Medicago truncatula: one gene and its partner. The protein of the gene in region 2 interacts with the protein of the main gene of each other region in a biochemical or structural test. Links are inferred from orthologs where the notes say so. Each region holds a gene or a part of one and is shown on either strand. Other genes may lie near its edges. The genes, in order: E3 ubiquitin-protein ligase AIP2 and B3 domain-containing transcription factor ABI3.

What was found.
Region 1: the proteins of B3 domain-containing transcription factor ABI3 (region 2) and E3 ubiquitin-protein ligase AIP2 form a complex in vitro, tested with the Arabidopsis thaliana proteins (2 studies listed by BioGRID, with this or other methods). The link is inferred for Medicago truncatula from reciprocal best matches to the Arabidopsis thaliana genes ABI3 and AIP2.

What each region holds. Positions count from the first base shown.
Region 1 is NC_053042.1:3,563,767-3,580,463, reverse strand, and holds E3 ubiquitin-protein ligase AIP2, read right to left. Parts: upstream 6,606-16,697; 5' UTR 6,475-6,605; coding exon 6,328-6,474; intron 4,819-6,327; coding exon 4,593-4,818; intron 4,449-4,592; coding exon 4,246-4,448; intron 3,577-4,245; coding exon 3,361-3,576; intron 3,220-3,360; coding exon 3,070-3,219; 3' UTR 2,883-3,069; downstream 1-2,882. Other genes in the region: RNA demethylase ALKBH9B, read left to right, coding at 1-35; F-box only protein 13, read right to left, coding at 8,259-9,470; tocopherol O-methyltransferase, chloroplastic, read right to left, coding at 13,479-13,597, 14,129-14,231, 14,609-14,812, 14,942-15,046, 15,433-15,602. UniProt on the Arabidopsis thaliana protein: E3 ubiquitin-protein ligase that acts as a negative regulator of abscisic acid (ABA) signaling. Mediates ubiquitination and subsequent proteasomal degradation of the transcription factor ABI3.
Region 2 is NC_053048.1:27,918,297-27,935,638, forward strand, and holds B3 domain-containing transcription factor ABI3, read right to left. Parts: upstream 6,943-17,342; 5' UTR 6,601-6,942; coding exon 4,765-6,600; intron 4,331-4,764; coding exon 4,238-4,330; intron 4,150-4,237; coding exon 4,049-4,149; intron 3,934-4,048; coding exon 3,881-3,933; intron 3,800-3,880; coding exon 3,723-3,799; intron 3,302-3,722; coding exon 3,143-3,301; 3' UTR 2,837-3,142; downstream 1-2,836. UniProt on the Arabidopsis thaliana protein: Participates in abscisic acid-regulated gene expression during seed development. Regulates the transcription of SGR1 and SGR2 that are involved in leaf and embryo degreening.

The DNA of each region.
Region 1 (16,697 bases), on a different chromosome or scaffold from region 2:
CAAATAGGTGGAGTAGGGTAAGGTCGAGCAGTTAAAAAGACGGTGTATTATTAGGATCTGAGGCTCATACTGGTTCACAGTTGAAGTCAATTCTCTGATCTTCATGCCCATCACTTGGTAATGTTGAATAGATTTGTTATGGGAGGTTTCTTGACTTTGGTTTTCGAGAATGCTCTACTCTCTGGCAATTTTATCATATGACGATTGGGGGCTGTTTTGGCACCTTCAATTCGTTAGCCAGAGGCGCTGGTGTATATTAAACTGAGTGAGAACTTGTATTTGTCATTTTTTTAGTACCAAGCTAGAATGTAGCTGGGTTATATATTGACTTCTATTTTTTCAGGTTGATGCTTTATACCTAAAAATATTCATTTTTGAGGTGATAAATACTTGGTTGTGTGAGGTCAGTGTTTTTAGCGCTGCTAGAATTGCTTGGTTTGAGACTTGTAGTGGAATCTAATCATTTTGAAATTGCTTGTTTGTGAAAGGATGAATTGAAGAATGTTGTTTAGTACAATAAACAGTTATACATACCGTTGATCATTACAAGTTTGATATATTGTTTTCTTGATATAGATTCACATTATTTGTTATATTTAACCACATTATTGTAGATTGTTTTAATGAAAGTTTTGGTGTTTATGCTTAAAAATGGTTTCCATGCATGTCATGCTCATCATAGATTCATAGCCAACAAAAAATAGAAATTGAAATCAGATTGCTTCCAGTCAAAATTTTTGACACATCCACGCAGTGGCGAATATTTATGACCGTTGGATCGAGATTGAATTGTTCAAATTGCAATGAAAATATCAAGCTTGAAAAAATCTAAACGGTTGAATTTTGGTCCAACAATCACAGATGTACAAAACTGCGTAAATGTGTCGATTATTTGACAACATGCAATCTAGGTTATAAAAAATGGGAAGGGTGTGATCTATTTGAAGTTCTTTTAGAGGCTTGATCAATGAAAATAAAAAGTTGATGTAGTTTTCAAATATAATTTGATATTGTAGGATTTATTTAAAAGGGAAAAACCTCTGATGTTATTTTCAGAAATTTTTTCTTCTACGAATGAACCATTGATTGTAGGATAGAGAGAGTGCAATATACTGTCAGAATAAAATAAAAAAAGACTCGTGTAAGTTACAAATAAGTCTTATAAAATACAAATTTTAGATTTAGTTAATAAATTTTTAATTTGATGTACAATGATAAATACAGTGCAGGTATAGCCGTATAGGGTAGAGTCAGTGAGTAGTAGTAAATCTTAGTACCTGCCTGTATTAAATTTAGTAGGAGATTCTCTTTATCTGCAATTCTGATTTCTGCATATAATTTTTTAGGTATCATAGGATCTACAACTCATGGTCTTCCCTACTGAAACTGTGTACGTTAAAATGTGCAAATGCTCTAACGAATTGATAGAGACCCGAGTAAGAGGGATAAGGAAAAGAAGGGCTATTAGTATTAAAAAAATTGAGATCCATCGTTCACCACTTCACCTATATAAAAAAAATAGACAATTGCTTTTTTAACTATCGCTTATTTATAACTAAAAAACCGGTAGCAGTTAACTACCGCTGGATTTTTTGGTCATTTACTTATGTTTCCAAGACAGGATGTCAGAAAAGCAACAGTCAAAAAAATATGTATTAATAAAAAAGTGATACTTGATGTATTTATCGTAAACGTAAAGTACAAGATATTAAATTTAGATTGTGAGCGATGCAAGCAATATTAATTAAAATGTACAATTGGAAGAAAAAAAAAAGTAATTAATGTTGTGTTTAAATTTGAAAATGTTTATTATTTGGAGATAAATTTTTGTTGCAAAAAGATCAATTATTTTTTAAAAGAGAAAGTAATAAAAAGTATGGTGAGGTTCAAGTATCTCCAATTATGAGTTATTTATACAATAAGGACTTCATCTTATTAAAGGACCTCTAATGGATATCTATTAGTTACCATCATTTATATAAAGGATCCTATTTCTCTTTAACAATTAACGGGATTAAAATAGGAAAGAAAATAAATAAAAGTTGGTTCCGTCATTTCAAATTTATGTAACTTTTAGTCTCTTCAATTTCTTTTTGTTTGTTTTCTAAATGTACATATTAAAGTAAATATTTAAGGATTTTTTAATTTACTACCATTAAAGTCATTGAATCTTTTATTAAAAAATTGTAAATAAATGACGTGTGCAAACAAGATCCATTTAAAAACTTTTTATGAAGATGCTCTTATATGTAATAAAGGGTGGGTTAGGATGTTAGGTTGCAAGTTTGTTATGCCCAGTAGTATAAATAGTGAGGTGAGTGAGTTGTAAGGAAAATACTTGTGACATGTAGTGACTTTAGTGTATTTTAACAGGAGAGAATGATAGATGACAATTAAAATAAATTCTTTTAATGAGAAGAGAGATAGAGACAAAGTTCTCGTGAACTTAGCTCAGTTGGTATGGACAATGCATAATATATGCAAGGTCCGGGGGTTCAAACTCGGCCACCACCAAAAAAAAAGATAGAGACAAAGTCATCAACCCAAAATTTAATGTCACCAAAATTGTATGCAAGGTTATTGTGGAAACCATTATGGTTAGGCAAAGAAAGAGAGTGTTCTCTACTCTTTCTGTGAGGCGTTTTACTCTGGAGTATTTGGGAATCACTTTCTTTCTACAATTTATCTTCTATTTTCATATTGTAAGAGCTTTTGCTCAATTTTCAGTAAATAAACACATTATCCTTATAGCTCAACCTCTTCAACATATTCCTTATAGCTCAACCTCTTCAACATATGTTTGGAAAAGAATATGGGATAAAATTGAACTCATGAATCAATGATCCCAACATTGTTTGGAGGACTGTATTTGTAGACAATCATTGTTCAGAAAAACTATAAAGCGAGATATTAAATTTCAAGGAATAGCAGTCACACTTAAAACATGAGACGAGATAACTATATAATTTCAAATAATGAAGAATACACAACTATTCACCACCAGGAAATTTTTAATCCCTTATTTCAGGGTAAACCATAGTATACATCGTAATTGCATTGAATAGCCGTCTAAACATACATGAATTCACCGCCTCGAAGAGCATTTGCAGCACCTTTCCTCTCCTCTTCCGCTTCCTTTTCACGTTCCTTCCAGCTCTCATAGGCATGATCATCAGTTTGCAGCTCATAACGACAGATAGGACAAGAATTGTGCTCATCCTGCCACATGAGGGATAAAATTAAACAAATTTCATATCTGATCATGTAATTTCTTCCGTCTCTTTAGTATCAAATGCAAAAAATTGGTTTTAAAAGGGAAAAACAGAACTTTCAGTAAATAAGTGGACTACGAAACAATACCAGCCATGGCTTTAAACATGGAGGGTGGAATGTGTGCTTGCACGGTAACTCTTGCATTTGGTCATTTAACACCAAATTTTCCCTGCAAATGGCACACTCTGCATCTTTCCCCATCTTAGACAGGATCTCTTCGGTGAGAGTAATGACAGGAAGTTTTGAGACAACTTCTTTACTCGCAGGAGGAACTCTTGGAGCTGCAGGACCACCAGTCTCCATCTAATCAATTATTTTTATAAAAAAAAAAAAAAAAGAAGAAGAAGAAGAAGAAAAAAAGTCAGCCTTATAATTAAACAGTGTAAAGTTTAACAATTAAATGAGACAAAAATGAGTATATATTAATCAAAAGGCAAGTTGAAACGAGCAAAATGTGATATAGTAGTTAACAAAATGAGTGAGCTGAGCAGGTTGTTTATATCTAATCACCCATAAAAGAATGTATCATTATCTTTTGCTTATTAAAAAAAAAGGTGCATCGCAATCAAATTATCAATTATATCCACTAAAGCCACCGAACAAGGAACATTATGCATAAGAAACTATGTTGTTAAGCAGGCTGTTTGCGTTGATTCATGTAGTTGTGAAAAATTATCCTATTGAACCATTCTAAAGTAGCTTAGTTTGTTTAATAGAACCTCAAGAAATGCTATTCTGAAGTCAACTATGTATATGCTCAAGTTCTAAGTTGAGCATACATAATTTGTTGAAGTTCTCAATTGAACCTAGGATAGCTGGTTTGTTACTGTTTTAAACAATGCTTAAGCCACAAACTTCTTGAAGTTACAGAAACTGAATCTAGAGATATTCAAAGCCAGGTTGATATTTAAGAGAAAGAATGAAAGCAAATAAGGTGTGGCCAAAATACATGAAAAGTTTTTGGATAAATACCAGGGGCACAACTTCTTCCAATCTATTTCTAAGCATTTCAAGCACACTAGCAACATCCTCTGGCGTGGTGTCATTTGTTGCTAAACCCTGAGAGGGTTGAGCTTCAAATAGTCGAACAGCTTCATTCAAGAGATTTGCCTGCACCATCCATTCAGGTTGTGGTGGCTCTTGATCTACCGTAAGGTGCCCCTCAAAAAGATATCCTGAATCAACACAACGCGATAAACACGGGAAGGTTAAAGCAAACTATCTAAAAACATCCATATCCCAAAACTCATCAACATGAAAAAGCTATAAATTACACATCAAGAAAAAAGAAAAAAAAAACTCTTCAAAAAGAAAATCACCTCTATTTTCACGATTTACTGCAGGTTGCGAAGTTTGTGAAGGGTTGTCTTCTAGATGCAAATGTTCCCTGGCCTGAGCAATGCAAGCCTTCAAGTGCTCCTTTTCAGAGGGTTCAGAAACAAACAATATAGCCTGCTCAAAAAGGCTCAGGCCAGCACTCCAAAAACCGGGTGCTGTATATCTCGTCTTCAACACTGTCGCAACTCGGCATATAACAGAATAAAACTGCCACCACCAATAACACCACAGTCAATTTATTGGCCTTTAATTATCCATCAAACAATAACATTAACCTATTCAAAGTACCCCTAACAAGAGCACTTATGAATGACCTAACAATGAAAGATCATTAGCAGGAACGAAACTAAAAAAATTCCCAGCAGTGCTATTCTAACTTATCAGTTGACCTCATCATTAGCCTTAACAACATACATGTATATACAGAGATAAATACATACATATATCAATATCAAATTGTTTAATTTCCTTTATATGTTGAAAATGAGAGCAAAGGGAGGAAACCTCAATCCCAAGACTTATCGACAGGGCATCCGATAGCATGCCGAGGCTGCGTTAGCAGATATAACCAGCAAGTTACTGCCCATGTAGCACCATCACTTTGGATTGAAAGCGTGTCCAGTAGTCGACACATGTTAGCAATGGCGGAGCATGGCACAAATTTATGAAGGGGCCATAAACATACATACATATAATAATAATAATAATATGGGAGATGTTATGAGTGCCCCCGGGGCACTCTTTAAGACCTTTAAATATTAAATTTTTATGAGAATCATTGTATTGAATGCATTGGAAATTGAAACAATTGACTTTTTTTAGTGGATAATTTCTTGAATTAGAATGCTTAAAGAGTGCCCCGCGGGCACTCGTTAACGAGACCCTAATAATATTTATAGCAAAATTGATATCAAATTGATGTTGGTCAGCGCTGAGCAGTATAGCACCTCTGTTTTATATAGAAATACTAGATTTGAGTATGATATTTAGCATTTGGAGACTTTATGGAAAAAATAGATGAGTTGCAAAAACACGAAATCCAGGGATCAAACCCGCACATAAGACATTACTACTTATAAATCATTAATGTATATTAGCATTTTATTATATATGTATAAAAAAACTTTCAGCACCTCCATATTCCAAGAAGCTTCGCTGCTGCGTGTCGGTTTTTGAACCTGACATACCATGACACAATTTTTTTGTCCAATGAGTCACGACAAATTGTTTAATTTCAATTACTACCATTTTCTTATTACTGGTGTCAAACTATCAATGTCCAACGTCATGTATCTGTCAGTTCTTCGTACGCATAAAACTGTTTCATCCCGTCCCAGCGACTCAATTGTTACATTCAATTACTATAATTTCCTAAAATTATCACAGGAGTCCATGTATGTATCCAAGCTTCATAACTGTAAACAGTTTCACACCAAGCTAGCTACTCAATTAGCCGCTCGACGTTGGAAATATCCACAAGTATCGTTAACCATGTGTGCTAACTCTTCATAATACATCCAATTATATAACAGTATAAACTATAGATCAATCCAAACAAATTAAAAATCAGTTCTTTTTTACCAAACTTAAACAAACACAGAAAAATAAACAAAACCCAGAAATTAAATTGACAAGTACACACCAGCAACTAGTTATATAGAATTAAACCACAATTTTTTTGAATATTAATGAAGAATTGAAATCAAAGGAGTATACCGATTTTCGAAGAGAGGTGGAAGCTAATGGATACGTGGTTTGGAGCAGAGATTTGAGAGATGACACAGCGTCTTCGAATTTCTGCTTCTTCCCCAATTGTTTCTGCAATTCCTCCAATTCTTGTTTCACCAAATTTTCTGATTCCATTTTGTTTCTGTTCTTGCAATGATTTTTCACTCAGATTTTGGAAATTGAGAAACCCTTTTTCTTCTTCTTCTTCTTCTTCTATGATTTTGTGATGTTTTATATATTTGGTTTGGGAATTGATTTTCTTCGGCAAGGGGAAACTGAAGGGAATGATCGTCTACATATGTTCCTACCGTTCTTTGAGTAGGTTATCCAATCATTTTTTGCCACGTCATTGATGAATTTTTTACAATACCACGTTATTGATGATGAATGTTTGATTTCTCCCATAATGCTTTTGATCTAGTATTAAAACTAAAGGGAAATGCTCAACAACACAACGCAAGTCAAATATTAAAGGTATTGAGCAATTTGTTTATATTGTATGATGTTTGGAAGACAATTTTTTTAAAGATGACGATGGATAAAATATTATTTTAGTATTTTAGAAAATTTTTATTTATGTTAAAAACTCTGATGTGGTACATTTCGAAGAAAAAAGTTGCGATATAGTTTCATGAAGGACTGTTTTAGTTTTCATATATCATCTGGCTGTCCTTCAATTTTTCTATTGATATTCCATCATACATTGAGTAGTTGATCATTATTAATGAAATAAAGTGATGACTTAAATACAGTTTTGTTCACTCTATTTTAAATTTTGACAGTTTTGATCCCTAAATCATATTTTTGAACTATAAAAATTTGATGTGATAAATTTTAAAGGTCGTGGAATATGATCTGAAGATGAAAAAAAATCAACATCGATAAAATTGTAACAAAATTCTCTTTAAAACTCCATTTAAAAAATATCATATCACAATATTTGATAGAGGGGCCAAAATTGTTGAATTTTACAATGGTGGGGACCAATTTCGCAAAATCATGAAAATAGGGCACCAAAATTGCAATTAAGCCTAAAGTGATTTACTAGTGTCAAAAAATTATTTTGAATATTTTGAATTTTAATATATATCAATGGGTATTTTGATTTCAATTTTTGTAAATATAATTAAATTTAACAAAGTTTTTTCATTGTTACTTTTATCTTCCATTTCACTTGTAATAAACATTAAAAATGATTATATATAAAAAATAAAAAAAATAAAAAATCGCATATCAATGTTACAATGGTGAGTGGTTACACAATAGCATCAAATAAAAAATTAGGAATTGCTTCTATTGCAAAAAAGAAGGTAAGATCACATCTTAGTTAGCTTGAAAATCTACATAGAAGACTCAACAAATTAGTGTCACTTTTATCCTTAAAAATTTAAATTTTAAACAATCAATCATAAATGAGATGAGGTTCAGGCACTGGTGTTCTCAGAGTTCATAACAAAAAGAAAAAGGTAATTTTGATATCATCTTTCACTGGAACTAAAAAGTGTGATTTTATTTTGTAGGGAATAAAAACAAAACTGTGAATATTTATAGGGACTAAAAAATTAATTATACCTTCAATATATAAAACAATAAACTATGTAAATTTTCTTCCAGAAAAGCCATATTGATGTCTCCTCTATTTGTGGAGAACTAAATATCAAACAATGAAAAAGAATCATGAACAAGATCATTCATTGATAATACCACTAAATGAGAACAATGTTACATCTGACAATCAATTAAGAAAATTACAATATAATCTGTCAACAATCAAATCATTTGGTTAGCTTCCATATCTAGCTATGTTGCATGAAGAAAAAAAAAATTAAGCACAAATCAAAATAAAATGCAAGCTAACAACAGAACATAAAAAATGGTTGATAAATAAAACCAAGATATCCAACTAGGGCATTTCACTCTCAAACAGAAGCTTCTATCCTCGGCTCGAAAGAAAATGCCGACATAAACTCCATGACTTCTCCATTAATGTGACATTTTGGCAATTCAACCCAGTTGTTGGTTACCAAATCACACAGAACATAAGTACATAGCTCAGGAGAGTTCAAGCATATAAAAATCCGAGAACCGGCACCAACACAATTGATATCCGGCTTCTTTCCGTACCATTCATGAGACATTGCTGCTGGCATTGCTGCAATCTGTTGCCAGCATCGGTTGGTCTCATCGAATCTCCACACCCTAAGACTTGTAGTTTCCAAGAATTCCGATAACAAAACAACTATCATCTCACCATTACACTCCACAATATCGATAGAGTACTCGCAAAAAACTGGCAATAGCCTAGGGTACTCAAAGAAACACGTGCAGGTCAAATTGCAAGCTACAACGGTCCCAGACGAACTCAAAAAATAGACTACCTCTTGACCGTCTTGGTTAGTAATGACCGACGAATATTGCTTGGTTGGACTTCTCTGCATGCTACTTGCTACCACATTTCCAGCCTTGCTCAGAAAGTACACAACATTGTCATCGGTTGAATCACAATCCGCTGAACTATCATCGACCTTCCTCCCAAGAGCATTCTCGTCTTCCCAACAGGCAGAGCTTGAGTTATAGACTTTAAATGAAAGATTGGGAAGTTCACCGAAGACTAATACAATCTTGTAGGATATTTGGCCATTGAAAGATGTTGTACTCATAACAACAGCATTGAGAGATTGATTTTCTGAGGTGAAATTCAATGGAGGGAGTTCGGTAGAAGATCCGGTCACAGGATTGGACACAATGAAGTTTCCCGACGATGTTCGGTAGCAAACCAGGCCATTAGAAGCTGCAACAGGAATGCAACTTTTGTTGGAATCTTCGAGCAGAAGATTCGGATGATTGAGTCTTTTCCAACTGTTTTCAGCCAAGTCAAAAATTACAGATTGGTTGAGATCGGGAGCAACCATGAAAAACCAAGGATCCCTTGTGGGGATGTGTGAGCAAGCAAGCTTGAAACTCGCAGAATCAGCAGCTGATTTCCATCTCTTGCACACCGAAGTAAGGCGAAAGAAACTGGAAGTCGGTAACCACGAAAGTACCTTTTCAAAGACATCTTCATTCAGATCATCCAGTGAAAAACTGTTGAATCCATTCTCTGGAGACTTTCTTTTCAATCTATGCTCCATTGATCACAAATTTAGAGCAAACAACTGCAGCAACAGAAGAAGTAAGATGTTAACAACAAAAAAATCAATTTTTCAAAACCAATTGATAAGAATAATAACTTTCAAATGAACACATTAACATATCATAAAAAAGGGTAAACAGGAAAAAGTTCAAAACTTTCCCCTTCATTCAACAATCCCTTTTAATTTCACCATAAAAATTTCAAGACTTTATATAACTTTCAATAAACCCTCTTAGCTTAAGAAGCTATTCATCAAAGTTCACAAGCAAAGATTAACCTTGAGACCTCAATTGCAAACAGTAAACAAAATTTCACCCTTTTTAGTACAAACCCTCAAACTAAAAATTGTAAATAATAATAGTAAAAATACTAACTAAAAAAACACATATTCAAAAGGGTTTACAATAATGATGATATAATACAAGAACAAGAACAAGAACAAGATTATGAATGAAAGTAAGAACAAAAAAGTACCTGAAGGTGTTTGAGCAGGTGCAAGTGCAAGTGCAAGGTGAGAGTGTAAAACACACAGACTGAGACAGAAGAGAGAATGAATGAATGAATGAAAATGGAGGTATGGATTAGGTGTTTAAAATGAATGAAATCCAAAAAAAGTGAAAAAGGGAAAGTGAATTTGTCCACAACACAAAGAGAGAGGGAGGAAGGTTCGTAGGGATCACTTTTATAATAAGAATAATAATAATATTTGTTTAACAACAATGGATTGTTGACACTTTGATACTCACAAAGACACAAACACACGCACAAACAAAGCAACACACACGAGTGGAGTGGCTTAATGTTGGTGTTACATTGGATAGATTCGGATCATATCTATATCTCTATGTCAACGGATTTTCTTACGTCGATTTTTTGTTTTTTATTTTATTTTGGACGGTATTTTATAACATTATTCTTTGGTACAAAACAAATTGGTCAATTTAATTTTAGAAAATATTTTGTTTTATTTTCTATTTAATTTTTAATTACAAAACTAAAAACCTTATACTTATTTTGATTTATGTATTGTTTTCCAAATTCAGGACGGTAAAAAGGATTAAAAATTGAATAGAATCGTTTAAATAAATAATAAAATTTGAAAATAAATTGTTACATCAAAATTTTATATATAGGTGAAGATATTTTGCGTAAATATTTTAAAAAATTAAATTATTTGATTGGATAAAATTGTAAATAAGACTTTTTAGATAAAGAATAAAATTGGAAGAAACAAATACACCAATTTTTTTTTTTTTTTAAGGAACACCAAAACTTGATATTCCCCTTCATATGTAGATATATCTTTTTAATTAAATGTGAAAATTGTGACAAAATATTTATCAATATGAATCAAGAAAAAATATCAATTTAGTTTTAAAATGGTTTTTTATTTTTTTAATTACCAAATATTTACTTTGTTTTCATTTTAATTTTTTCTAAAAGAATAGAATGCTAAGTGTTGAAAATGAAAATTCACTATTTTCACATATAATGTTTGCAAAAATAAAATAATAGATTGGAAAAAAGTAATAACTTATAGTCAAAAGTAAAAATAGAAAATAAATTTAAAAAAACATGTATGTTTTTTTTACAAATATTAAAATGGGTGTGATTCCTTATATTAAAATTATCAAAACTAAAATGAATATAAAATTTTACAATAAATTTGGATAAATAAAATCCACTACTATAAGCCAATAAGTAGTTGACTCTTGTTAGAAGACAATCTAGAGAAGCTTAGGATTCGGGTTGAAAAAATGAAAAAGTACAGAAAGCACAGAAACAAAAAAACATTAAATTAATAATTTGATGTTGCATAAAAGAAAGAGAAAGTGGAATCACGAGGTTAAATTGTCAAAGGTAAAGTGTTGGGTTTTGCAATGTGACTAGTGTTGCAGCTGACCCTTCCCAAGCAAAAGTAAGAAGCAACCACTTTTGGCTCCTCGTTATGGAATCTTTGTCTTCTTTTATTACAAAGTCAATGCTCCTCAAACCCCATTCACAAGACAAGTATTCTTAACACTAGATTTGTGGAGGAAAATATGGAAAAGTAATGGCCGTTTATTTTGATCTTTTTTTTTGTTCTTCTTTTCTTGTTCCTCGTGTGTGTGTGTGTGTGTGTGTTTTCACTTCAACTAGAAGCTAGCTTGCAAACACAAAAGTCATTAGGCTAATGCAGGCTTATTTGTTTAATAAATTGGTTTTGCTTTTTTGGTTCTTTAAGGTTTCACGTTTTCATCTTAATGCTATAGAAAAGAAGGGTTTAATGAACTTCATTTGTGGAATCTGGATAATAAAGGGCCTAAACAAGTTGACAAAGCCTCCAACCCTCACTTGAAAATATATCTTTGGTAAAGTGATCGTTTACTTTTTTAGATGTTTATGCAATCAACAATGCTCTTTACACTCATTTAAGAATCAAAACTAAATTCTTGAAAGAAAAAAAAGAGAATCAAAACAAAATTTATTGTGTTTTTGGAAAATTGGAAAGTTGTGTTCACATCCAACGTCCACCAAACAATCCAATTTATAGGTTCTCAAGTTCACAGTGATATTGGTCTTGGAACGTAAAATTGCAAATCTAAATGTGGAATCAAACAGACAACTATTACCAATGTGGCAATGTCATGTCGCGTGTGGGGTTTTACTGTGGATTACTTTGATAGTCATATATGGTTGATTGATACCAACAAATTAATACAAATTCTAATGATGATTGACGATGTTTTTCGGAAGTAGAAATGTCCAATACTATTTATTTTTATGATTGAGATGGTGACCTAATCAATATCGATTCAAGAAAAAACAATATGATTTGAGTTGAGAACATATATATTTATATTTTCTTATTTTTCTCAACTAACACCGATTAAGTCTCATTCATGAGGAAGATAATGATTGAGTTTTGACTTTCGGAAGGTGGTGTATGCCACACCATTGGAGCTCCAAATAAACTGTAAAAGCATTTCCAATGCTGCAACACAAGTTAGATTCGTAACTATTTCTTCTGGACCCAAAAGTGCCACATAGGATTTAAAAAATAAAATAAAAAAATCATCTTTTCACCAAACTCAATTTTTACCGTGTTTGTTTTCGCAACAAAAACTCATCGGACGTGCAATTAACTTGAGTTTATACTCTGTAGCTTCTTGTCTTTCACAATAGAAAGCCGGTGGACGCCGGGCGGTGAATGGATGTGAAACCAAACACTAGCTTTGTTCTTAATTTACTTTACACGGACCCCACAATCCATCCACAATGGCTAAGAACATGTTATTGCTCAATGGCCGTCACATCATACTCCTCCAGGTCTACAAAAAATATTAAATCTGTACTCCGTATTCATAAAAAATATGCATACAACATTGAAGATGCTGATTATCGGTCCACATTAGAATTTCCTCCAATGTGGTACAATTGATATCTGTGGTAAAGTGACCATTTACATATTTAGATGTCTATGCAATCAAAAAATGGTCTTTAAATTCCCATATAAGAATCTCAGTAAAACTTGTTTTACTGTCTAGGTCACAATGTGTACAACCAGGGCACAATGTGTACAAACTATTTATATGACTAGGACATGTGTTATGTGTATTCAAAACAACTTATGGAACCAAAAAGAAAAACTCTTACTAATGTATGACCTTGATAGTAAAATAAGTTTGCTGACATTCTTATATGGATGGAAAAAATGTGTTAGAATGGGAGATCCCGTTAAAGGTGGCCGATCAAGCTCTCCCACAGAGATTAGTCAACGACAAAGTCAATTAATAATTTGCAGCAATAACATGATTAAAAAAACAAAAGCAATATTGAACAAAGGAAAATTGAACTGACATTTCGATTGGAGGCTACACAACAGGAACTAGCTTACATCTTTCCTTCAATTATTCAATCACAGTTGGATCTGACATGGCAGAAACACGTATTCTTTATTTCTTATTTGTTTTGTGTGAACTATCAAAATAAATGACATGTAGGAATTCTGTTTCATCATATAAAATCATTGACCATCTGCGTTTTCAGGCTTTCGACATGTGATAATGGCAAACTTAATCACACCCTTCCTAAATCCTTCTATCATCAATGGCATAGCCAAAGCTCCTTTTATAGTTTTTAGTCCTGCACACAACAACAAAAATGACATAATTCCCATTAAGTCGTTTCATCCAACAAGATCATTATCAATTTATGTACTCCCACGGTCACATATTGAGCGTCACTTGAGATTATTTCGCACATATTCAGAAAAGGTATATATAAGAGAAAGAGTATAACAATTTTACAAATGTATTCATATGAACCATTAACTGTTGACCATTATCCTAAATGCATACCGGAGTATATAACATTAATTTTGGAACAGAACTGAAAATAATTAATGTTACATCAAACACGTAACGCAACATGGAGATATAAGGTTGGCTTGGTGATTGGGTGGGAGTGTTTAGGAGAGGAGTAGGTTGAGGATTCGATCTCCACCCTCAACAAAAGCATATGTGGTTTAGGGAAAAAAATGTAAAGCGACACTTATTTTGAGACGTTTTTCTTTTGCTAATGTGACACTCAATAGAGGATGGAGATTGTTTAATAAGACTTATGATTTTAAACAAAGGGGCTGTTTGTAAATGCAATATAAAATGTTGAGCTTACCACTCCGCAAGATTGAGGTGAAACCCTTCCATGTTAATGCTGAACGTATCACTGCTGGCCAAAATGGAGCAACAAAGGGAGACCAATCTGCTGATTTGATGTCCTAGATAGATAGCAACCAAACATGTCAATACAACCACACAACCTAACTTAATAGCAAATAGTGATTGTTTAAGTGCTTATTCAATAAATTATTATATGTAACTATCTCATTTGAATTGGCTTGTAATTCCTTAAGTTTTTCCATATCAATAAGTGTACAGTCGTTTACATGCAATGCAGTCCATGTAATGCAGTCTAACAAGCTTACAGTATCTTGTGAAAAATTGAGATGTAAAAAGCTATTTTCAACTAATATAAGAAATTGTTTAAAAACTAATAGTTAATAACAAGTGTATCCAGATACTAATAAACTCTTTAACATTTCTCAACTCATAGCAGAGAATGAAAATATTACAATTAGGTATATTAATTAACTACCTGAAGGGACATGGTTTCAAGTAATTTGACATAATCAGCAGTTGAGCACCACTCCGGAAGATAAAATGAATCACATATCTTCTTCAAGAGATCCTTCTCCCATTGTTGTAGGGATTCTTCATCCGGGCGAAGATCCCTATGACACCATGTTACTATTATTATGGTGCCACCCGGTGCTGCTACCCGAGCTAACTCTCCAACAAACTGAAACAGTTTTTGTATGAAACAGGAAACTGAAATGAGATTGATTACAACTTTACTAGCATAAAGAATAGAAAATATAAAAGAAAGCGAAGAGCAGTATGCAAGTGAGACAGCAAGATAAATACGGACCTTTGGTTTGTTAGGCATATGCTCTCCGCTCTCCATTGACCACACTAGATCAAACTGGCCATCAGGGAATGGTTGTTGTAGAGCGTCAGCAACTTGAAAGGAAACCTACAATTGCATTGCATAGACAGTAAAGGTAAATATCAAATCAGCCACGCGATGAAGCACTGACATAAAGACACAGACACCAAACACGATACTGACATTGATACATAGACACCAATAATAATTTTAAATAATGAAAGTGATTGAATATAATCACATGTGTCAGTATCCACGTTGCTATCAGACACATGTCAAATATGATACATGTCTTTAATCGGAAGTGTGAGTGCTACATAGGCCACATATGAGTAGATTCTATTCTATACAAGTTCTTAACACCCTTGGTGAGATTCATTATAATAACATAACATAGTTTTAACACATTGAATATCAAGTGGTAAAATGTGTAAAAATAGATGATAAAGGAGAAAATGCACAGAAAGAAAGACCTTATCGGCTAATCCTTGAGCAGCAGCTAGAGCATTAGCTCTTTCAGCTTGAACAGGGCTGAGAGTGATGCCTACACAGTTTGCCCCAAATTTCTTGGCCAGGTACCTTGAACTGCCCCCTATGCCACACCCAACATCAACTACACTCTTTGGCCATTTTGATTGATCCTCTGAGCATACATGCATCAATAACAGCAGGTAGTCAGTACTAGCCAGTCCGATCAGGATAAAATTTACCAGCAAAAAATGAAAATAAAATAAAATAACTACTGCTGTTAATAGCAACTGAAATTACACACAGACATAGTATCTTAGTATTCTCCAATTGAGAAGTGGTTTTTGAGTAATATACAGTAACTAAAATCTTTTTTCTATGTAGCACCAAGACTTCAGATTGAAGATGTAGTTGGTGTTACATGATATTAACCTATATGGTTATATTCAATCACTTCCAGTTTTTCAAAGTACTATTGTTGTCTACGTGTCAATGTCGTGTCTAATGTCCATGTCTCTGCTTCATAGCTTTGAATAAGCAATCATTTTAGTTCCTAAATGGGTGAGGAAATGTCACTATAGTCTCTAAATGTATTGAAATTATAAAAACATCTCTAAGTGTGTCTTTGGTTAGTAATTCCATAGACCAAATTGACTAACTAACCAATGAAAGACACATATGAGGACCAAATTGACACTCAAAATACATATATATACACATTTTGTAATTTTGATGAATTCCAAGACTATGATGATAGCGACTCACACATTCAATTACCAAAATGACAATTTATTCCAATAAACATATTTAACTCTGAGTGTTAAGTGTCATATCTAATGTTAGTCTATCTGCTTGTAGCATTTTTTTGGTCTTTAAATGTGTAAGGTGTTGTCACTATAGTCGATAAATATATCAAAATTATAAAAACATCTCCAAGTGTGTCTTATGTTAGTAATTTCATGGACCAAATTGATTAATGAAAGACATCGGACAACCAAACTAACCAAAGCAAGACATATACAAGATAAAACTCAATAACAAAATACACGTTTATATATGTTTATCGTAATTTTGATACATTAGGCGACTATAGTAACAACGACTCACACATTCAACTACCAAACCTGATAATTTAATTCATAAGTTTTGTTTGTTCCCCAAAGGTGATAAATGAATGATTGGAAAACCATATTTTTTGGTCTATCCATCATTGCAACTTATAGGATAAACACTTATCATTATAAACACTATGTATAAGCTTTTTCTATAA
Region 2 (17,342 bases):
TTTAAATAAAGTTATTTTTTTATATAAAAGAATTACTAATACTAATACCAACTATTTCATTTGAGTCTATTCAGATAGATTCATCTTCTTTTGTTTATATGTTGATCGTAAGTATTTTTTTAAATACTAATAAAGTTATTTTTTTAAATACTAATACCCTGATCGTACTTAAGAACGCTTCTCATTTAAAGTACAAACCTATAATGATAAGAGAGGAGTTCGATACACATATTCTAAATGATGATGAAATGCGTCTGAGAAAGATGGGTTGTGCGGTGTTTCAATTATATGTCATCGATGATCTATTCAGGTACAATATACGATTTACTTAATGATTTGCCGTTTTCTGTTTCTTTATCGTAAGTATTCATGTGATTGTTGAATTTTGGTATCCAATAGACTGTGTAGACAAAACTCTAATACCTATGAGTTTAAGCAATCATCTCAAAAGAAGTCCAAGAAGAAAAAACAGAAGAAAAAAAAAGGTGTGGCATACACATATATGTTTTATTTATATGTTGTTTATGATCCTTTCTGTTTATGAAAAGATTTTTTCTTGTCTGTAGGCTAAACAAGAGGTGGAAGACCATAAATCTTCAAAAGAGAATAAGGAAAATGATGTATTGAATGAAGAGGAATTGAACTATAAGATGTAAGAAGTACCTATAAGACACATTTTTTTTTATCGCTTTTATCATACGGTATAAAGTATTTAGAGTAACAAAAGTAATATGTTATCTTATTTCAACATGCTGAAAGAAATAACTATAACCTAGGATGGTTTTTTATTGTTAAAGAAGCAAAGTCAATCTTCATAAGCAGAAAATTTAGTGTGTAGAAAGGAAGAATAGAAATTTGATCATGTGGATAAAACATAAAAATTATTTAAAAATATAGTCCAAATTATCTCATATTCTTTTGATATATAGACTATAGTTATAGATAAAATGATGTGGGAAACGTAATGGATGATATTGATCTTCCCTTCCATTCCCTTGTTTGTTATATAAATAAAATAGACGAAGTCAAATAGTATATGTATGACTGAGGATTGTACTTACATATACGGCTCCTTCATTACCTTGTCGACATCAACAATCCAACAATACTCTACTTCTTTACGTCACGTACACGTTATACACCTTTTTGATATCCTAATTTTTTTCTATTAAAAAATATGACTTTTCTATCTGTTTATCATTATTATTTCTTGCTACATGCAACCTTCTTCAACTTATGATTGTCTTTTTTGCGGTATTACAACAAATATTAAGTGGACAAAAAAATAAACAAATATTAAATGAAATACTAAAATACATCTTTTTAGATTAAACTTTTGCTTTTTAATTTTACCCTTACATTTAAACAATTTTATTATTTTTTTCATCTTCGTATCGATATATAAAGGTAATACACTTTTTAGGTTGAATTTTTTCTTTTCACTTTTACCCATTCATTTAAACAATTTTTCATTTATCAATTAAAAATTAGTTAAATCTCATTCAAATAAGAACAATCAACGACAATAAGAGGAACAATTCACAACAATAGACTGCTTCAGCTTTCTTGTTCGCCAAGTTTGAAATGCTTATATATGAGGTGTTTCTCCGGTCTTAGAGAGAGATGAAAGTGAGTCAAACTAGAGTTGATCAAAAGAGAGAATTTTAAGAAGATCAAAAGCTGAGAATTGAGTACTTTTGGATTATAGTCTAGGGTTGGGAAGCATTATGAACACCTTGATGAATGAAATCATAGTGTCATTTGTTCAAGGGAAGGCCAGAAAATGGTAGAACCTCAATAGGGTTAGCCTAATGGTGTTGGTTTGGAACCTTGGAGTATGCACTTCTTAAGGTCTCGTGTTTGATTTCTCCCTATGTCAATTTTGATGGCTTTAAATGTTGTCCTCGCAAGGGAATTATGAGATCATACAATTCAGATTAGTCGGTCCTTAGGCTGGATATTGAGTTTTATTTTAATGAATTAAGGTTTTTGAAGCCTAATTTCTCTTAAATTTATGTATCTATTTATATGAAACTCGTTGATAATAAATTGAAGAACTGCTATTTTCCACATATGTATAGGTCAAATTGAATCGAACTTAGTAAGTGATGTTCATTAATTCACTTTGGTGATTGGTTGCTACAATTTTTCCTACACTCAGCATAGCATTGGTGCGATTTTATTCAAATTCACGACACAATTTATTCAACTGGTGCTTTTATTTTATGCTTTTTCTATAATATTGCAAATGACAATTTATGTGTAAACGGAAAATGGAAGAAAAAGGAACCATTTTAAAGATTTTTAAAAAATTTATGATTCAAATAAAATTATAATGTTATGATGAAATATTTAGAATAACATTTTTAGAAATTTAGAGTGTTTGATCTTCTTAATTTAATTAGTACATAGGACTTGTTTTTTAATAGTTTTTTAAAAATAGATTTTTATAGTTTTTTACTATAATTTTTTAGAAAGGGTTTCAAATAAAAATTTTGTTCGAATATAAACTTATTTAACTTATCTTAAAATGTCATTTTAAAATTTCATCATTTTGTTATAAATTTTTTTGGATATGAATTTTTTACAGATTACTTTATTGAAAAAAGATGTGTGATTTGTTTATATAAAAACTAATATTCATAATTTATACACATTAACCCAATAAAATGATCGGAAGTGTCCACTAATATATATAAAATTCTTACATCTATTGTAAGGTATCTTTTACAATTGCCTACAGAATTACTCAAAAATAAATTATAAGATTTTTCTCTCGACAAATTAATAAAATATGCAATTTGTTAACAATTTTATATATAAAAAAATCTCAAGATCAATACACGAAAATATTCTTTATTGTTTCATCTGCACCATGATTTTCTATGAACTTCAAAATCAAAGTTACAAATGGAGACAGCTCAAGTACAACCCTTACAAAGTTTAAATACACATATCCACATACATCATTTTCACACAACAATTTGCAAATGAATTCCAAACAAATAATACTACAGATCCTTATAAGCTTTGCATGTTCAGCTCAAAGTCTCTTTTATTGACTCTACTCTACTATATTTAAATATATATTATTATGCATCTTACTATATCTTACATATATATTAATTAATTGATATCTTTTTCATTTTTTTCTCTTTGGTGAAGATGGCGTGCCATTATTATCCACTGCAGTTCCAGCTAAATTTGCAGCATTATTCCCATGCTGGTTTTTCTGTGATTTTCCTGCTTTTTTTGCCTCTGGTTTTGTTCCTTGTTGCCTCACTTTAACTCCCCTTATCATCTGTATCACAAATTATATTCCCACCAATTAATTCTCAACTTTTTAATTTTAAAAGAAAAATATATCTCATAATAAAGTTTACTGTTGTATTTTAGACGGTTGGATTGAGAACAAACGACTCGAGTTTTGGTGAGACCTCGAGCATGGTTAATTGGTTCAAATGATTCAACAGCGGTTGAACGAGATGAAAAATGTTAAATAAAAAAATGTGAAGAATATTAAAAAGAATGTAAAATATGAAAATCGGTTTGAACCAACCACGGTTTAACCCGAGGATTCACAATTCAATGAGTTGAACGGGATGAGTTTAGTCTGGTTTTTTAAAACTTTGGTTTGATCTCGATTCAATTACGCCGGGAACTAGGAAATCCAAATCCATGAACATTAAGTAAAAGAAAACATTATAAGAGAAGGCTCTTACAAATTTGCCACACTTCACATCAGAATATATCACTATGAAATCTCCTTCTTGGAGTCCATTAGCTTTCACAAAATCACCTACAAAATGAAAATGAATACATTATGAAAAATAAACAAAAACAAACAAAGCACCAAAGATGAATAAGAAGAATAACTCACCGGTGTTCTCCAGCAAATACATCCTGCTTTTGTTGTTAGGCCAATATCTGATGCTCCAAGAAGAAATAATCAAAAGATAAAATTTTAGTCCCAATGTATCATCATCATAATTTATAAACATAAAAAACAAAATGATGAAGTTAAATTTGTCCATGAAAATTTGCTTACCTATAACGCATATTCCAAACTCGAGAAGTTCCAATGTCTTCCATTGTAATCGAAATTCCATCTCTTGCCTCCAATTCTGGCAAATGTGTTTCTGCCTCTTTCTGATGTTTTTGCAATAAACTATGAATCAATATTTTATTTTCTCATAAAATGTAATGAATAATTGAAAAATAGAAAATCAATAATTACTTTTGGCAAAACAATTCTCCCCAGACTTCCGACATCACTTTGCTTCAAAACCTTTTGTAGAAGGAACCTCAAGTTCTTTTCTGGCTTCCAACCCTATCAATCAAATACATCAAACACATTATTCATAAAGCAAGATAGTTGTGTTTAAAGTCGCACATTTTTTATAATTTGACAGTTATAATTGAGTGATCGGATAATGGCTGTTAGTTGAAGTTATAGTAATGTTGCAAACCATTGTATTGCGATATCTGCATAAGCTACAATAATGTTGCAAACCATTATATTGCGGTATCTGCAGACAAATGGATAAATACCACCACAACTGTGGTTGCTACGCCGTTGCAGAGACCTTTAAAACCATTATATTGCAGCCACAATTACGGTTGTTGACCATAATTTAAAACTTATTCAAGTTCAATAACAAATGATTTTGCATTTACATGCATTTCTAATAATCACACATCGTAGATCATATAAACAACCAAAACATATAATCTAACAATAATATAAAGCTGAAGTCCACAAACCTGTCTCCTATCGGATGCACTTCGACCCTGGTGAGAACTCTGTGTCTGCATGGTGGGGCGGTCACGGTCCACTGGAGGCTGCGTCGGCTCAGCCGGAACAACAGGTGCCAAGGAGGCTGCTGTCCCACCGGTCATAGTCTGCCAATACATCCAGTTCGCTGGATTTGCATGAGAACCACCAGCAGCAACATTGGTGCAACTATCACCACTACCTAATCTCGCAAGTGGATCAGAACCTTGAATATTCTGATGATGGTTAATATTATGATGCCTATGATGAGACATAAACCGCCGTTGCCGAGCCATCCTCTTCTTTCTAGCTTCTTTTGTAGCAGAAGGACCTAACCTCATCAACCTATCACCAGGACCAGGAAACAACTGATAAGAATTATATTGATTTCCATAACCTCCAAAATTCATACCATGAGGTTGTAGCACATTGTTGTTATTTTCCACAAATGATTGATTGTAGTTTGGTGCAACATTGAATTGAGAAGCACCCCATGAATGATTTGATTCCAACATGTGATATTCATTAGTAACAGCAGGTTGGTAAGGGTTAATGTTATTTGAAACAGAACCATTTGTGTAAGGATCAGCAACAAATCCAACTCCAACTCCAACCATTGGTTGTGAAAATTGTTGTGGAGGTACAATGAGAGGTGTTTGATCTAGCCATGATGTTTGGTTGAAACATGCGTTCGATTCAGGTGCAAATGTGTTTGCTGTGTTTTGGTTCTGACACGGATCTTGAAAATGATGTTGTTGAGGAACAATATTTGAAGGTATTATTGTGTTCGTGTTGGCGTTTTCTTTGAGTCTTTTGTTATGAAGATGACTAGTTTGAACCCATTCAAGAATGAGCTTCAACAATTGTTTCATCCCTTCTTTTCCACCACCTAATCTCCTAGCAGCACTTTCAATCGTTGATTTCTTAAGCTTCACATTCCTCAAATCATTCGCGGAGACACTGTCTTTGTTCGATTTAAGCCACTCCAAGAAAACCATACTCATTTCATCACTTACACCATCACATGCACCTAATTCATCTCCTTGAATACTCTCTTCCCCATTTACACCGTCACACACAAAAACATCGTCGTTATTCTCCTCGATATTCACTTGTTGCGGTTTATTTTCCCGATCATCATGCACTATCATCGGAACTTGTTGATGTTGTTGATATCCGTCTTGCACTTGAACTTGTTGCTCTTGAGTGAAATCCACTAAAGGGTTTTCATCTTCATTTTGAAAAATCGAAGCAGGGTCAAAAAATTCATTAGCTTCTAAAAGCTCCATGTAACCAAAAGTATCCATAATGTTAACATCATCCATGCAATCACCACCACCAACAACAACATCATTGTTAGAAACACCAAGATCTTGTTGCTGTTGTTGAGAAATCTCCATAGAAGCAGTTGATGACAAAGTTGTTGGAGGATGACCATGATGATAATCTAATGGATGACCATGTTTTTGATAACCTTGATGATCTACTTCAACATCTGATTTCAAAACAGCCCAAGAAGCTGCAGATGAAGAAGAAGCTGAGGAAGAAGAAGAGGTAGTAGTTGTTGTAGTTGAAGTACATGCAATGGTTTTCAATGGTGTTGAAGATGATGAAGATGAGGATGATGATGACATGCATGGAAAATCAGGTAAAGGAGGAAAATCAGCATAGAACATAGATGCATCATCATTCATATTCATACCTAAAAGATCACCATCTTGATCATTTGTAGTATTATTAAGCCAATTTTCTTCTGCTAAATTTCCAAAACCAACTTGTTCTGTTTCATTCACCAACTTTGCATGCAGATCTAAACCACACTCCATAACAAGATCTAACTTTATCTTTAAAAAACTTCTCTCAAACTTGAAAAACTTTGAAGTTTGATTACCCTTTTGTTCAAGTATTCTTCTGGTGTAATTTTTTTCAGATATGGTGCAAGAAATATGGTACTGTTTGAGGAGAGAGAAAGTACAAAGAGAGAAAAAAATGGATAATTTTGTTTATGTACTTGTCAAGTACAAAAGGAAAAGATCTGTTTAAGGAAGCAAAAGAAGATAAGATTCTTTCAAATCTTATGAATGGATTATGCAACAGAAAACATCTGATTCTCAACAAAAACACTTACCAAGAGAGAGGATATCATTATCAACAACTTGGATAATATATATAATATATATTTAATAATGAAAACCTCTCTTACCTTCAAAGAAAGCGACTTTCACTATTCCAAAAAGTGGGTTTTTTATTGATTTTTTATTCTCATTTGGGTCATTATCATCCTAAATAAACAATCATACACAAACAACCTAGGGTTTTGAAAGGAACACAAAGAACTTGGATGAAGAAATTGAAAGGACTAAAATCAAAACTTTAGAAAGAGCAAATAACAGAGTGAAGCAGAAAGAAAAGATTAAGATTCTTTGTTCACAAACCCAGAAAACCAATCAAATTTTTCAGAGAAAGAAAACCCACATGCTTAAACTGATTGAAAACTTAGTCTTTTTTGGAGAAAAAAAAAACCCACCCATGTGTGTATTCTGGTTTGTTCTAGGAAGTTACATAATTGTTTTGCTTTTGTTAATTGATTTTATTTTCTCTTTCTTAGATAAGTTCAAAATGGTTTTTAGGTAGTTTCACACACACACAAAAACAAAAGGTTATGTAAGAGAGAGAGAATAAGTGGTTTTTTGAGAGAAAAGGTAGTTTTGGTTTTGGAATCAAAAAACAAAATTTCTTGCCGCTAGTTTTGTCAAATGAGGTTACTCCGGAATTTGTGCTATAGACATTCGTTACATTCTCAGTGGTGGTACTAAACGGTGCCACAGTCTTTATTAGAAAGTAAGGTCTTCTGCTCCACAAAGAAAAATTTAATTTTTAGGTGACCTTTGATTAATGTTTTCATTTTGTATTCTTTTTGTTAAATAAATTAATGTCTTACTTGTTTCTACCAAAAAAGTATTATTTCTATCATTTGTTACAACTGTCACATTTTTTTATTTGGAATTATCCATTTGCATGTGTTTTTCTTTTATCTAAATATGTGTTATTAACATATTAGATTTTTCTTTTTTGTGTAATTTTGTCAACTTAATGCAGCCTAGAAATGTTCCGCAATTGAGTGTTAACTCTTTGAGTTTATCGAGTTTACACTTTTAGATATCAAAATCGTGTTAACTTGAAGGTAAACTCGAATTTTGGTAAAATTAGAAGGTTTGATGAGTTTGATCGAGTTAACACTCGGTAAACTCGTGTAAACTCGACCGAAATTTACGAGTTTACATCTAACCAAAAAATCGATCTTTTTTTTTTGGGCCATTTTTTCCAAACCCAATTTCAATCCTACAAGCACAAAGACTGAAGCGTTTACTGAATAGTTAACTTTACAGTAACACGTTGTTCCCGAGATGAAACGTTTCTTTTTCTTTCTTCTCTAAGTCCTCAAACCATGAACAGGGAAGCACATACTAGTTAGGGTTGTGATTCCGACGATGGAAATTCAGATTTCGACGCCGGTTAGGATTGCAGTGGTGGTGTTTGTTGACCTTTTGAAAAAATTAACTAGTTTATTTTTTTAGATAGTTTTATTAACAACTTTAGGAACTTGTGAAACTTGCTTTTTTGGATAGTTTTATGAATGACTTAAACTTAGAGACTTATGAAACTTATGATTTTGTGCGTTAATTTTTGTATTTTGATGCTAAGTTGAGTATAACGTTTTATTATGGTAGTTTGGTATAACTTGTCTTTGTAATTAAGTCATATTTTGCACTATCGACGTATTTACAATATTATATTAGCTTATATATGTCATGCATATAATAAATTCTACATAATTTTAATTTTAGCTAAACTCATACGAGTTCTCGAGTCGAGTTTACTTAAAGAAAATGAGTTGAGGTAAACTCTCGAGTTCTAAAACTTTACCGCTTAATCTGAGTTTTTTTTGTGTGTTTGTTATGTTCAGATTGATAGATCGATTTCAACTTGTCATATATTTAGCTATGATCACTTGGGTATCGACACTAGGATTCGCGGACACCACACAAGTCGATGTTACTCATTTTAAAACACTCCTATCTTAGTTAAGTTACCACAAGTAGAAAGCATATACTTAAAATTAATTGTTAAGATTTTTTTTTTGTATCTTTTGTGGTGCAAAACTAGTCTGAATTCCTCTCAACCGACTCATATATGTCATGTTTAAAGCGGTAGGAGGAAGAATTTTACCACATAGGTCACATACAACAATTTAATGGAGAACACATTTGAGATTCAACCACCCAATTTCATTTATCCCTACTAATATGGAGCAATGTGCAAAATAAGAGATCTCAAAGCCCTCTATAAGATTGCTCTTCACGCCAAAAAAAAATTCTTAATTCCATTAAGATTTAATTACAACTCTTCAATTTATCATATCATATTTGAGTATTTTAAAATCAAAAGAGCTATGCAATTTTTTTTGTGTGTTGGCAAACTGTAATTGATTGATTACATCTTCGTCACTCACAAGTTTTATCATAGTTTCATGGTGATACATTATTAGCACAAATCAATTTTACGCTCTTTACTTTTGTTTGCTTTGCATTCTTCTTATCTTCATCAAGTTTTATCTCATTTATTTTTCTTAAAGATTTTTAACGAGGCATAAAATTATATTTTTATGCACCCTTGTTGTCTATTTGAGTTTTGACCCAAGACCCCAATTTGTTTTTATTAATTTTTTTTACAAGTATGATTTTTTAGTGCCAAGATAATTGAGATTTCTTTATTATCATGTGATTTTTCGCACTCTAATTCTTTGCCTAAAAAACATCATAGTAAAATTATTTAAAACACAAGACATATCAAGAATATATCAACAATACAAAAAAGATAAGTCAAAAAGAAAAGAAAAACTGAATACCTTCAAATTCATCAATAAAAACATCAACAAATATACTGAGACCGAAACATACGCGCGGAGTTCACGCGCCTAAAAACCACATCCATAAAATGAACCAAACCAAAAAATGATAATCAAACATCATTTAGTGGAAAGAACGATTCAATTAAATATCACCAATATTTATCGACAAATCCTAACTCAATAGATAAATAAATTCTGAAATTGTTATGTTGAATATCGTGATCGAAGTTTGAACCTTAAATTCTACACTTATATGTGTGAATATCTAATGACTATTATCGGTTTGTTTATCTACCGTAGAAAATGTCAACAATACTTGACAATTCTTAAAAAAATATATATCATATCCAAAAAAAAGTGTCAACAATACTTGACAATTCTTAAAAAAAATTATATCATATCCAAAACAAAATTAAAACAGACTAAAATATGGTTTTGATCCCTGCAAATTTACTTCATTTTAGTTTTAGTCCATGTAAAACCAAAAAACATCATTGATTACAATTCAATGCTACTATCACAAGGATCTGCGGGCACAACACACAAGTCTATGCTTCTCATTCAAACAACACCCTTATCTTAGTTAAGTTACCGCGAGTAGAAAGCCTCCTTAAAATTAATTGCCATGAAATTTTTTATATCTTTTGTGGGAAAAAATCAGTATGAATTCCTCTCAACCCCCTCCTATTTGTCGTGTTCAAAGTGGTAGGAGGAAGAATTTTACCACATAGGACCATATACAACGATTTAACTGAGAACACATTTGAGGAATCAACAACCATCCAATTTCATTTATCCCTTCCACTATGGAGCAATGTACAAGATAATAAGAGATCTCAAAGCTCTCTAAAAGATTGCTCTTTAGGAAGAAAAAAAAATAGTATTAATTCGATTAAGATTAAATTCCAATTCTTCCACTATTGTATCATATTTGATTATTTTAAAATCAAAAGTGGTATGCAATTTTTTTTTTTGTTGGCAAGTTATAATTGATTACATCTTTTTCACAAGTTTTGTCCTAGTTTCATGGTGATGCACTATTAGCACAAATTAGTTTTATGCTCTTTACTTTTGTTCGCTATGCATTCTTCTTCTTTTTACCAAATTTTATCTCATTGCTTTTTTTTTCTTCAAATTGCTAGGTCAAACGTTGTGATCGAGGTTTGAACTTCAAATTCTACACTTATATGTATGAGTTTCCAATGAATTTTATCAATTCATTTATCTAACAAAAACGTATCAACAGTACTTGACAATTCTTAAAAAAAAAACTATCATATCCAAGACAAAATTAAAAACATCATTGATTACAAAAGATTCACGATTAAATAAACTCACGATTTTAACTTTAGCGTTGAAATTTTTAAAATATTATACAACACTTGGATGGTTACTAAAAAAAGCAAAAATACATAATTTGTCCCTTAACTTAATTTCAATAACACTTTTCTCACTTATCTTTTTTTTTTTCTTCTGATTTAATCTTTAAGTTATAAAATATAAACATTGTTATCCTTTTTATATTAACAAAAAAAAGACAAAAACTCATTGATGACAAAATCTATCATTTGTACTAGTGTGTCGGCATGTAGTAATATTTATAAAAGTTTATCTCCACCTGGATTTTCTTGTTTAAACTTGACTACTAAGATTATGTTAGGAGAAATATATATAAAGAAGAATTTTGAACTTGGCAAATTGGTTGGTTTGAATTCCATAAAAGAAAGAGAAAGCGACTAGGTCATGTTAGATTTTCTTTTTCAAATTGTTGGTAACTACAAACTACGAAGCCAATGTGACTGATTACTTGATTTTAAGATAGTGAACAAAATAGCCAAGTCCACATCTTGGTCACTAACTCTCTTCAACGGTTACTTCTCCCTAATGTCTTCGGTGAGCCCATAACCCTTGATGGTTTAAGAACGCCAAATTAAGTACATGATAAGCGGATGATATACCATTTATTACATTCATATATCTCCCATTATATGTGATCTTTGAGTGAAAGCAAAACCTACTTTATCCTTAATATACACTAAGTCTTTTGTTGTTTTAGAAACCTTTATTTTTAATGTTAATTTAAGTTTTAGGAACAATTTATGCTTGCTAGTGCTGGTTTGTATGGAAGGTCGTGAAAATGTTCAATGATGCATTGCTAAAGGATGGAAGTTGTATTAAGTTACAAGTTTACGATGTATCAGAGTTGGTCTAGAGGATATGCACTAAAATGGACCCATAATTTTTGTTTAATAGAGGCCCAAGAAAATCAAAGTCATGAAGGACCTGAACCTGATATACACATGGATAGACTAGGCCAAAACCCAACAAAACCAAAAACCACCAAAGATTAGTCAAGAAATCAAGGACTTTTACCGAACACAAAATCAGAAAACTACTATGAAAATAAGACCAAAATAGACAATATCAAATCTTAGAATTTACCGAACAAAGAATGTATCATCGTGGACCAAATCAAAGGCCCTAGACCCAAGCAAGTTGATCATAGTGTTAAAGATGTCATGACTCGTTGGCTTAACAGAATGTGACAACAAATAATCACATTGACTTAGGCTTTGAGCAATATCGAACTTTAGTGAAGCTTCTTTTGCAGAAGTAATCGCCTCAGTGTTGACTGATGGTTCAATCACCGCATCGAAGACCTTTAGTTACTTTTAGGATTAATCAGAGGTTGATACACATGTGTAACGCCCCAGATTTTGATCCAAGACATTACGCCTAAATCATTCTCATTTTCGAAAATTACTACCATTTTTTTTTTTTTTTATCATTAATAATAATTCTTAGCAAAATCTATACAAAATTCTTAACATAATTTAATTAAACTTCTCAAACTAAATATCCTTCAAAATTATTACTAAAATTAGAATTCAATTAAAACCCAATTTCTTCCCCGCACGCGCTTCAAGCAAAACACCAAAGCATACACATGTCTTCTTTGGTACCTAAAATGTTAGTGTAAGGGTCAATTTCCTTATCCAAATTGGTTCATACTCAAAGCACAAGAAACAATGTCATAAAATAGATAGTATATATCAAAACTTCTCAATTAAAAAGAAATAAGGAAAATACATTCAAGTTATATGCTTTAAATAAGGTTCACACAATTTCTTTTGCTTTATAATAGTTTAATCACTTATCAACACACAAATGTATAACAGACCCAATGCAATGCAATTATGTGTAAATTGCATGCTTTTAGATTCTACATGATCCGGAAATAACCCGCCACACAGGCACCACACAGAAATAACTCGCCACACAGGCACCACACAGATGCATATGCTAATGCATGATCATGAACAATGAAGACTAAATCCAGCCACTTAGGCACAACAATGCAATATGATATTCTCCCGCCACTAAGGCACCACACAGAAATATATTATTAACCCACCACTAAGGCAAATGCATAGTCAAATAAAATACCCGCCACTAAGGCAACCTCATAAGCAAACACAATCAGATATTAACACATCATCATCCACATGAACCAAAATGAAATATTTTCATAAAACTCATATTACTATATTTTCATTTCTTTAGTTTATCAACAAAATCCAACACTTCTTTCCCAATACCACAAAAAAAACATATATGCATATCAAAATAAAATAAATGTCATTCTACATAACATTTTATGCACACATCATATAAAATATAATTAAACTAATAACTTTTATAAAAGGTTAAATTTTACCATATAAATTCATATTTTAGTTTTTTTGTCTTCTTTTCAACCGACAAGAATCTCTACCTCTAATTCATAACATCATCCTAGTACTTAGTATGGACGTATGGGAAAAAAGTTCGTACCTCATGCATTTTTCTTTCTAAATCACGACTCTAAGCCGCCTCAAACTTGCAGCTACGATGCAGACACAATTTCTTTTACTCCCAGAATTAGCCCGAACGAATGGTGAACGAAGGAGTAATTGAAATTCTACGGCCACCTCTTATGGAAAAAGAAAAAGGCTTATGATTTGGAAATAATTTAGTAAAGTGAGAAGAGAATAAAATAAAAGGACATGTTTAAAATAACTTACACAAAATTAGACAAGATGAAATGTTATGATTGGATTAATGGACACAAAAAATTCGGATGAAATGTGTAGGCCGAGTAAAGAGTAGGAGAATATGTTTGTAGACTTGTGAAGATGGTAGGGAGAAATGTGGCTCACAAGAAGTTACCAAGAGAACAAGTTTGTTTTGATTAAGGCAGGGTTAATGGATGGGTTTATTTAGTGTAATTGTCACAGAAGAAGACAAAGGCGTGTGACAATAAGAAAATTGGTGTCTTGGTTTTAAATAGAAATAAAGAATAAATAATGTTTGGAATCATAAGGATCTTTTAGAGAGATAAGTGTGTATTTGTGGTTTGTGTAGCAGATAGTAGGAAACGTTATTGGTCTCTTCCTAATTGTATGTTATCCCTAGGAAAATTATTATAGCTAGATATATGAAAAACCGCCCCTCTTGAACAAAAATCAGAAAAATAAAGAAAAGAAAACTAAGTTTATTTTAATTGAGCCACTCATAGCATAACTATAGGAGGTAGTTGAACCATGGGAGGTGGATTCCTTATCTTTAGGAAGGCATACTAATAAGTAAACAACAGCAACGTGACTAACAAGAGAGTAGTGTTTTGACTCAGCAACAAAAGGGGACACTCATGGTCAAATAAGTAGAATATATACTTGAGTAAAAATAGGCATTGACAGCACAAAAATAACCACGTACAATACAAAATAATAGAAGATGTGGTTACAAGGATGATAAAATGAAACATGTGCAAAAAAAAAGTGTGCTATTAACACTTAAGTAGAAATCTAACTAGTATATTTGTCTAAAATAAAATAAAATAAGTTATATAAAGAGGTAGAAGGTTATTCTATTATATAGTCATAGCAAATTGATCAAATATACTAAATAAGAATAATTAAAACAACTAAAACTAAGGGAATAATTATTTCAAAAATAAAGGGTCTTAAATTTTTTCTTAAATTCTTTACACCTAAATTAAGTTGTTGAATAACTAATAAACTAAAATAACATATATATATATATATATATATATATATATATATATGAGACAGGATTCGTTGACACCAAATCTTAAGCGTTAATTTCTCTTAATCTAAAGGTCAATAATTATTCATCAAAATTTTAATGTGGGCATTCAGTATTTTATATCTCATTTTTAAGACTATTTATTTTATTCTCTCTCATCAATCTCATTCACCTTCTTCCCTAAAGCCTCATCTCTCCGTTAAGCAAACTAGTTCTACGGGTTATTGATCCTTCTTCTATAATCTCAATAACAAAATTATTTCTATATATCTCCAACAAAGATAATTCTTGATTTTTTATTTTATGCAATTGGCAGCACCTCAAATTAAAGGTTTTGGTTATACATCTGTCAGCATCTCAATTTAAAGGTTTTTCATTTTTTCAACATCATAAAACAATAAAACGTAATAAGAGTATTTTAATTAACTATTGTTTTCATGGATAATTAACTATTTTTTCAATTACCTGAGTTATTGATTTAATTGTTTTGGAAATTGAGAAATTAATCTGAATGAATTGGTTGCTGTGAAGAAGATAACGAATGTTTTTTTTATAATCATATGGATACAAATATATCTCTTTAATTCAATACATTCCTCTCCATTTTCATTAATTTGGAATAAATTGTCCTTGGAAGAAGGAGGCGCACTACAAGAAATCTGGTTTTTACTGGCGGAAATAATCCCTCAGTAACGCCAAAAATCCCTCAGTAGTACATATTACTGGCGAATATGAATCCCTCAGTAATATGAGCGTCAGTAATGTTACTGGCGGAATTTTCCCTCAGTAATGGAGAGGTAGTTTTGACAAAGCATTACTGAGGGATTATTCCGCCAGTAATATTTATATTGAACTGCATTACTGACGGAAATTTCAGCCAATAATGTACTTCTCACTTTTTTTTTTATTCCTTTCCACTTTTTAATTTTAATTAAAGAAATAAAATTTATTAAACACAAATAAATTAATGAAATAAAGTTTTAATTTAATAAGACAAAAATTAATTAAACTGACATATATCATCATAATATTCGTACAATCCATAAATCATTTTCGTACAAAACCATGAATATATCAATAATATTCGTACAATCTAAAAACTAACATAATAAAGTAATTATCATAATATAGGAAAATTTGATCTTGATCTCCCTCCTAACTCAAAATCCTTGCAAATCCTTCAACTCTTCTTGAGTATTAGATTCCTCAATCTTTCAGCAGCTCAAGCAGCCCTTTTGTTGGTTGGCTCAAGTACAGGGGTATATTTAAAATCATCAATTGCTTCTTTGTAGTAGCCCAGCATCTCTCTAATTGTACCTGTATGGAAGTACGCCTTCATACTCTTTTTGTCAAGACTTATTGCTTTTGTACAATCTGCCTCAGCTTGGAGATAACTGCCAAGCTTAAGAAACGCTTGAAGGATACATGGTCTTTAGCGTGTCAAGCAAAAAGCGATCACCACCATACCGAGCTATCAGGGAAACTCTTAAATGTTGCTTGACCCTTAAATGTCAATTAACATGTTATCAAAGCCTCTAGAAAACAAAAAAGTGAAACAAGAAATTAACATTAACTGAACAATTCAAACATCTCAAACACCCACAAGTTTTAGTGACAAAATCAAAATAATAAAGAAAATTGAGGTGAGAGTTTATGCATTTAAACCTTCACAGAGTCATAGTTTTTTTTTTTAACAACATACCAGCAGCTGCAGAAGGCCTTCAGACCGCGCCAGCCTAAACAACACACCAACAACAGGCCCCGACACAAGCAATACCTAAAAGGGCAAGGGAACGATACACCAACAACAGGCCATGACAGCAAAAAATAACAAGGACAATAGAAAACAGCAGAACCGAAAGATAATCTTACTATCTCCATCTCTCAGAAATAATTTACATGTAAAGATTCACCACACCCAAATGACCAAAGGACTCTTTCTACATTCTCCAAACAATGATTTTGTATGATTTATTGTATTATACAGATTAGCACAACCCTCTTGTATAATATTAAGATCATTCATTGATGGGTTGAGATTTTGAAGAATTGTTGACAAAGAACATGGTAGAGTAACAAATATATATATATATATAGCAGTGCAGAAAAAACAGTTCCAACTGTGCTGTCATAAACAACAAAGGAAAAACTACCATCAAGTTCCTTAGCAACTTGATCTGGTGGATATGGACCACGGTCATGAAGTGTCCTATAAAAAAGGTATGCAACTGTAATTTGAACTGTAACATAATACACATGTCTTTGGATCAAAACCAAACTCCGACACCATCTTTAAGCTTTTACGTTGGACCGAATTCATCCTCATAAAAGGAATTAAAGATGTCACTCTTCATAAACTATAATCAGAACACATATGATTGCGATTCTTTGTGATATCAAAGAATCGTGACATAAATTAAAAAAATCAAGTACTACTTCACTACTTATAGTAACAAAAAAAAGGTGTACTAAAATAAATGATTTTTTTTTGTCAAATATATTGTTACATAATAGTAAATATAAATAACCTTTGATGAACAGAAAAAGGCTTATCAGGTCTAACATAAG